2 linked regions of the Cricetulus griseus genome follow. The protein of the gene in region 1 purifies or fractionates together with the protein of each later gene. This does not show direct contact. Links are inferred from orthologs where the notes say so. Each region holds a gene or a part of one and is shown on either strand. Other genes may lie near its edges.

The links.
Region 2: the proteins of Atxn7l1 (region 1) and ubiquitin carboxyl-terminal hydrolase 22 purify together in Homo sapiens (affinity purification with mass spectrometry; 3 studies listed by BioGRID and IntAct, with this or other methods). This does not show direct contact. The link is inferred for Cricetulus griseus from reciprocal best matches to the Homo sapiens genes ATXN7L1 and USP22.

The regions. Positions count from the first base shown.
Region 1 is NC_048598.1:170,988,732-170,992,542, reverse strand, and holds part of Atxn7l1 (ataxin-7-like protein 1), read right to left. Parts: intron 1,709-3,811; coding exon 769-1,708; exon of another isoform or gene 1-768.
Region 2 is NC_048600.1:75,162,523-75,166,827, reverse strand, and holds the start of ubiquitin carboxyl-terminal hydrolase 22, read left to right. Parts: upstream 1-1,467; 5' UTR 1,468-1,634; coding exon 1,635-1,805; intron 1,806-4,305. UniProt on the Homo sapiens protein: Deubiquitinase that plays a role in several cellular processes including transcriptional regulation, cell cycle progression or innate immunity.

The sequences.
Region 1 (3,811 bases):
ATCTGTTAGTTCTCTGGTGATAAACCTGGGCTACCTTCCAGAAGGGCGGCTCTCAAAGCCCACTCAGAAAAGGGTGAGGAAACTGGGGTCCTTCCTTCCAGCTCTGAGCTTCCATCTGGTGGGCCCAGAGTAGTAGAGGGCTGTAATCAGTAGCTCTCGCAGGCTGAGGAGACAGCCTGGATTTGGGGATTGGAAACCAACTCCCAGGAAAGATACAGCTACCCTTTGGCTGTCAGCATGTCCCAGCTCCATTACAGTGCACACTCACGCAGGTGACCTGGCACTGAGTCCTTCCTTTGCTATGGGGGCAAGGGGCAGTTTTGCTATAGGAAGGGAGGGGATTGAGGCAGCTTGATGAGGTGAGGACAATCACCTGGTGGCAAGATGCTCAGGCTGTCACTCTCCAGGTGGGACCTGATATCACTTAACCAGCCTGGGTCTCAGGCTCATCCTGAAGGAGCTCCAACAGATCAGATCAAACTTCTTAGCAACAAAACTCTTTAATGAAGTAGTCCTCAGGGCAGACAAAAGGAACGGAGGAACTAACAGCCTCTCTGTGTCCCATCTGTATCCTGATGACTGCTTTGTGCCCCCTGTGCTGGGTTCTTGTGAGGACTAAAGGAAGTGATTACTGTAAAGTACTTAGCATAGGGACCAGCAAAGTGAGGGTCTTACCAACAACTCTCAGGAAATAGAGCCATGCTTGTGTTACCTGCAGCTCCCCCTACCCCCGAGAGCCGATGAAGGCAGTACCAGGAGTTCCCTTACCTGCCGAGAGGAGGTGCTGTTAACGGGATCGGGCACCGGTGCAAGAAGGCTGGGCGGGTTCTTTTTGTGGACACTATTCATACCAGGCATTTTAGTGATTTTACAGGCTTTGCTACTGGGACTTGAGCTCTTACGCTTTTTTCCTTCTGATTTGTCAAAAGAGAGGGGCAGAGAACACACAGCATTGTGTGAGGCCAAAGAGAGGTCCCCTGCATGGAGTGCAAGGGAGGGCACGGAGAGGGGACAGGAGCCGCTGCCGCCACCCACAGCGCCCACCTGTCTCACTATGTCCATGGGGCTGCTGGGTAGCGAGGTCCGTCCTGAGGGCTCCAGCTTGGCACTGTGTGGGCTCACCCCATTATTTGAGTTGTGCACAGACAGACTGTTATAGGGAGGGGATGCCTGATAGGAGTTCAAGGAGGAACTGGCATTCAGAACGCAGTTCTTTTTGTGGGGCCCTGACAATGGAGACGAAAAGGAAGCCTGAAAGGATAAGGAGGAGGAAGTCGAAGACTGCGGCTTCCTCTTTTTGTTACTTGGAGATTCGTCGCTATGAGCTGACGGGTCTTTGACTTTTGAGGATTTGCTGGTTTTGGTTTTGGATGGCTTGTGGGATGAGGAAGGAATGACAGCTGGTATTGGGGACACAGCAGAGGGGGCCTTGAAGGTTGAGTCCATGATGCTGAGGGTTGCAGCCACATGGGGGAAAGCTGTGGTGTGGGACATGAGGACACGTGGGTCCGGCGATGCCACAAAAGCTGCGTCTGAGAGCATGGCTGATGTCATTATGTAAGAAGACGTGAGTCTCGAGCTGATGGGAGCTGAAGGAAGATACACAGCACTGGGGTTGCTGAAAGGCTGCAAAACGGATGCTGGAACAGGGGTGGTGATGTGGGCTGCTGGCGAGGGCATGGGACTATCTGCCGCAGGAGGGATCTTCCTAAACACGAGAGAAGAGCCAAAGAGAAACAGTGAGACATTGGATTGGCATCACTTGGGAGGCCGGGTGAGCTTTGATCAGCAGGGTTACAGAGGACACCCGGGAGGACCAGACTATGGAGAATGAAGCCTTGAAGGATGATGAGATCTGAAGGATGGCCCTTCCCTATGCTGCCCACTAAAGCAACATCACAACGTCAGCTTCTATTTTCACCCTTAAGAGACTGTTCTCTAAGTTTGGTGACTGAAGACTGGCTGATCTGGTTCATGACTAAAAGGCAAATGCTATTAAGACTATAAATATCCTGAGTAGTCTCCTCCACCTCACACACTGTTAGCTGTGATGAAAGTGGTTTTCAATGAGGAGAAAAGGCCTTGGCCTCCTGGACATGTCCCCCTCTGCTTACTGCAACCTCTTCCATTCTTCTTTCCCATGCTACTTTTGGCTGGAGATATTCTGAAGAAAACAAAAAAAGAAAACCATCTTCCCACTTGTCAGCATCCTCTTGTGTTTGCTACCCAATGCCTCTGGCTACTCTGTAGAGAACATTTCCACAGTAGCTTATGGCCACTGTGTTGTGGTGGCCATGGAAAATCAGTAGCTCTATTTCAGTGGGGTTAGTACAGGGCTGCCTGCCCTTCAATAAGTCCTCCTGTTCCTGAGCTGAGAAAAGGTGAGAGTCCTGGATTCTGTGTCCAGAGGGGACCAAGAATTTAGGTGAAAAAATGTGGGCAGAAGACCAGCATGTGAACAGGGGTTCAGACAGTCATTGCTTTCTTGACTGGCTTTTTGGAACTGATAGGAATGGTTCCTGAGGGCAGAGTCCATGGACCAATGCCAGCACTAGGCAGGGTGTCATTCTTAAGGCCTCCACATACTTGTTTTTAGACAGAGTCTCACTCTTTAGCCCCAGATGGTCTTGAGTGTGTGGTCTCTTTCCTCAGCCTTCTAAATGTGGGATTATAGGTATGTGAAAGCACTTAGCCATAAAATGCCTTTTGACTTATCCTGTAAATGGCTCTATTTCCATCTTAGGGCTTCGGTCCATGCTGCTGCTACTCTTGGGACCAGGAGATGGGGGTACAGTAGGTATGGGATCATAGTCTGCTCCTGATTTTGAAAGAAATAAGTGACGTTAGGAGTCAGAGAATGCTTTCTTGTTTTTTGCAGAGCCCTCTGCTTGTTCCCCAGTGTGTGTTTTCAGGGGCTTCCCTTCTCTAAGGTAAGTTCCTTCTCACCCAGGGCAGATGGACCTTGGACCATCCCTTCTCCTCTGCAGACCAGCTCCAGGTGAGAAGTTACCCTCTGCTGACATTCCCCTCTGAAGATCACTTGTCTGACACTTGCAGTAGAGCCTGTGGCTTCCATCTCGAGGGTGGAATCCAGTGGCATCCTTGAGTACAGAAGCAGTGTCTTTGAAACTGTCAGACCAAGGAAATGAAATACGAAAGTGTTGCCAAACCTACATCAGCCATGATGGTGTCTGAGAATTTCCTTCCTCTGAAGCCCATGAGGCATCAGAGCTCCTGTTGGCCCTGAACAAGATGCTACATGGATAGATAATGCTGTGATGAACGAATGAGTGTGTGAACAGATGGATGAAGGGGCGGTGAATTGGAAAGCAGGTGATCTCAGCAGCAACACAACTGTATTGTCAGGGGCTATGCATGCGGGGCAGGGATTCCCATGGAGGCAGACCATAGAGGTCTGCACACATCCTTAAAACTGTCTGACCCTGCATAACCCTTCCCTGACAGGGCAAGGTCACATTCTTGGAGGCACTGGCAACTTTCTTACTGTCTTTGTTACCCTACTGTGGAACTGCATGTGCTCCCACTGCTGTGCTCTCACCGGCTAAATTCAGAGAAACAGACACAGGGGTAGACGTTTGACTCTGAATTATAATAAGTGTAATTTACAAGTACCAAATAGTTAATTTACTTAAGCGGGTGGAACTTCATTTCGGGACCTAGAATGTCCCAATTTATATTTTTCTCATTAAACAATACACATACTTCCAATTGTGCAGACAGGCAGAATTGAAGTCCTAAATCTTACTTGGCCCCTGCTCAAGATTGGAATGACTGCTACTTCTGGTATATT
Region 2 (4,305 bases), on another chromosome or scaffold:
GTCTACAAGAGTTAGTTATAGGACAGCCTCCAAAGCCACAGAGAAACCCTATCTCAAAAAAAACAAAACAAAAACAAAAACAAAAACAAACAAACAAAAAGGAACACCTCATCCCAATTCATAGGTTGTAAATGCATGGACATATCTAAGTTTGGGTAAGACCATCATTGTTTCAAGGCCAGGCTGCTGCTAACCAGACAAGCCTCAACTGCAGTTGCTCCTGGGAACCATGACATCAAAATGCTGTCTATTTCCATAGGACATCCCCCCCCACCTCCACCACCACCATAAAAGCAGTCCTCGGAATGCCTGCGGGTAATTTCTCTCTGTTGTTTTGCCTGCTAGCCGCTAATACTGCAGTGCATTTGATGATCCCTCTACTTCTGCCTTTTTCTGTCTTGGTGAATTATTTCACTGCTCCACATCATGGGTACCTGTCACCAGAGTGTGACACCTAGCTGCTATAATTTTTTAGGAATAATGGTGTGCGTGTGTGTGTGGGGGGGAGGTAATTATTCAGTAGATACAATTTGTAGGGAGGGAAGACTGAGTTGATTGACTGCTCATTTGTGTAACCCCAGATAGGAGGGCTGAATGCATTATAGGTCTGTGCTGTCCCTATTTAATAGGACCTAGTGTGTCTAATGTGGCTAGTACAAATTGAATATGCTGTACCCAAAGTGTAAAATACGAGATTCCAAGGCCAATGCAAAATTTTTAGGACATTTCACTAACAATTTTACAATATCACCCGTTGACATGATATTGTCTTTGTTGGACTACTTGTTAAAATTAATTTTACCTGCTTCTTGTTGCTTTGTGGCCACTAAAAAATAATCGTATGCCGGCTGGCATTCTAGTTCAACAGGAAAGCACTGGATTAGACCCTAGGGAAGGGATCCTTAGTCTGTGTTCTCGCCGCGCCCAACCCCTGCTGTTGCACTGCGGTACCCAACACAGTCGCCAAGATGGCAGTCTGCAGAGAGCCTGCACAAGAAACTCAAGTGACCATCAGACAGAACCTAGAAAACCGTCTAGAAGAGAAAGAGCAGAAGCAGGCCCCGCCCCACCCCGTCCGGCGCCCCGCCTCTTTGCGGCAGAGCTCAGGCCGGTGCAAACCGGTTCAGTGGCCTGATGGGCACTCGGTTTTACCCAATCCTTAGCACGCCCCGCCTTCCAAGTGGAGACTCGAAACGTCCGGTAGCTGGCGTCTCGGAAGGAGGCTCCAAAGCAAACCGGACCAGACCTCCAGCCTATGATAACCGCCGATCGTGGCTCAGACTGGCAGACAACCAATGGCGTGACGCGAGGGCGGGATTCCTTTGGCCACCCCCTCTCGCCCCCCGGCGTCTCGCGGGAGCCAGAGGGCTAGAGTGAGGCTGTGGGGCGGGGCCTAGGGCGGTGGAGCCTGCGCACTGTGGCCGCCGGCCTGGGTGACGTTATCCTCTCCCGTGGACAGCCCCGCCCCGCCCCGCCCTCCTCGAAGCTGGAGACTGGTGCGTGAGGAGCGGTCGGTGCCGCAGTCGTCCGCCTCGGTTCTCGGCGCGGTCTTTGTCCGCCGCTTTGTTCTCGCCGCGCTGGCGTCGTCTTCGCCTCCGTCGCCGCCCGCCCCGCGCGCCCGGGCCTTGCCCGCCATGGTCTCTCGGCCCGAGCCTGAGGTCGAGGCCATGGATGCTGAACTGACTGTGGCGCCGCCGGGCTGCTCGCACCTGGGCAGCTTCAAGGTGGACAACTGGAAGCAAAACCTGCGCGCCATCTACCAGTGCTTCGTGTGGAGCGGAACGGCCGAGGCCCGCAAGCGCAAGGTGAGCCCTAGGCCTGCCCCTCTCTCCTGCCTGGAACGGGGGGAGGGTGTGTGTGGCGGGGGTGGGGGGACGGGAGGGAGCCTGTCGGTGCGGGGTGGGGTGAGGGTGAGGGTGAGGGTGAGGGGAAGGCTCGAGGTTCAGGGAGGGAACGAGGGGAGGGAGCGGGGAGAAGCCTCGCGGTGCGGGGAGGGGCAGAGGAAGGGGCGAGGCTTTGCCTCGCTGTGCGGGGAGGGGGCAAGGGACTTCCTGGAGCTGTGGGATGGTGGCCGGAGGAAGCCTCTAGGTGCCCGGAGGTGGGGTCTGAGGTGGAAGACTCCGCCTTGACGATCGGCCCAGAGTAGTCCCTGTCTGTGAAGGTCGCCGTGCGGGGTCGCGGTCTGCAAGGTGGTTCTGTGGGTAGCGGCAGCTGCTGAGACCCGCAGCAGACAGAAGAGGCTGGCAGGGCCTCTACGTACTCTAGTTGGGAAGCGAGATTTTAGGTTGTAGGAGACTATTGACATCCGCAGCCATCGAGGTAGTGGCTGTTTTGTTGTTTACTGGTTTTGTAAATCTCAGCAATTATGATTATATTACTAGAGATTTGGAAATCGGAAAATGTTCTTCTTTAATCTTAGACTTCAGTGTTAACAATTTGGTTTTGAAGGTGGAAACTGGAGTGGGGAGTAATAGTTGTTTCCGTCTTGAGTAGCGTTTCTTAACCGGAAAACTGGCAAATCCGCTGGTTGTATGTCATGTTAAGCATTAAATTATTTTTTTTAATCAACATGGTGGAAGACACCACAATGATACCTTTTAGGGTGACTAAAGGCTTATGTTCAGTAACAGATAGCCTGTTAGGATCAGATATTTTTGTTAATAGAAGTGTATGCCCTTTAACAAGAAATACTAAGACTTGGGTTGTTTTGTCTTTTGAGGTGACAGTCTATGTAGCCTAGGCTGGCCTTAACCACTCAGTCTGTCTCAGCTTTGTGAGGACCGGGATTATAGAGGTGACTGTCAGATTGACACCAGGGTTCCACGGTCTTAATTTCGTCACGGATGCATTCTATTCCTTCCTGGATTGAGATGTGTTGTAAACTCATTTTTTACATCAGAGTAAATGGGGGCCCCCTCCCCTTTCTGTACCTTTTAATCCCTTCCATCTCCCCCTGTTCTAGTTCCGCATAGCATCACAGAAGGAAATGAAAAGTTTCCTTTTTAATTAGGACTGCTTAGCTCGGTATTTAAATTTCCACTGAGCTAGAAGTTCTTTATTAAATGATCTTCACAACCCAGAATTCAGACACCAGTGCAACACTCACAAGTCATGTGAAGTAGGAAATGAAGGCAGGTAGTGCTTGTGAAGGGACCTGAGCTTTAGCTTGTCTACAGAACAACCCTCTCCTGAAGTTCCCTCTAGCTCAGAATGTTTTCATTTCACAAGCCAGTTATTCCTCTAAAAACATTTGGCTACACATAATGGTGCAGAAGAAGGAATGCAAATACCTGCAAAAGTATAGCTCTTCAGCCATCAGAGCAATGGTGACCCCCAAGAAAAATGACAGCAAATATGATATGGGGGAAAGGGGAGCCCTGATATACACTGCTGGTGGGGGTGTAATCTGCTACAGGCTATGTAAACAATGGAGATGTCTCAAATAACTAGAAATAGACTACCTTGTCACTGAGCCACACCACTCCTAAGTGTAGACTCAGAGGACTCTAAACACAGAACAGTAATGCAGAAAGGGAACTTTGTGAGGGAGGAAGAAACCCAAAAAGTTGGGGGGTGAAGAGGGGTAGTATTGGAGGTGAGTTTAAACAAGGTACAGTGATAAATATATATTAAGATGTCATAATGAAACCACTACATGACAGTTAAAAAATGAAGAGAAAAGCATCATATGTGTCTCAAGTTGTTTGCAGCCTTTGGGGTGTGGCTTAGGAGAGACAACACCTTACTGTGAATGTTGTGATGAAGGCTCCCTTCAAGGCCTATTCATTCCAAGTTCATTCCAGTTCCCACCATCCACAAAGCAAGTTTTGGGTACTGGCTGATGGGGCAGGCTGACCCTAGGCCTCCTGCTGCCAGCTCAGGAGCCACATTCCTCTCAAGAGGCCAGCTGTGCTGCTCCACAGGTACCCCATCAGCACCCTGTGCACCTCACTGTGCCTCTCCCTGGCTGGATCATTGCTGATGCCTAAATTGGATTTTTAAAAATCTGAGCCTTGTGGATGACTGGAAATTCATTTTCAAACTTAGCAGTTTTGGTAGGATGGAAACTAAGGTAATAGCTGACAAGATAGATGTGTCTTCCGTGCAAGTGGCAAACCTGCAGTTCTGCCTTAGTCTCACTGTGCACATCTGTGTACAGTAGAGTCACTAGGTGGAGAGAGGCAGGCCTTCCCAGAGGACTTTCTCTTGCTCTCAGATTCCCACGGAGACTCTCCTTATTTCCTGTGTTGGAATCATACCCCTTATAAGACACAGGTTTAGCCGGGTGTTGGTGGCACACGCCTT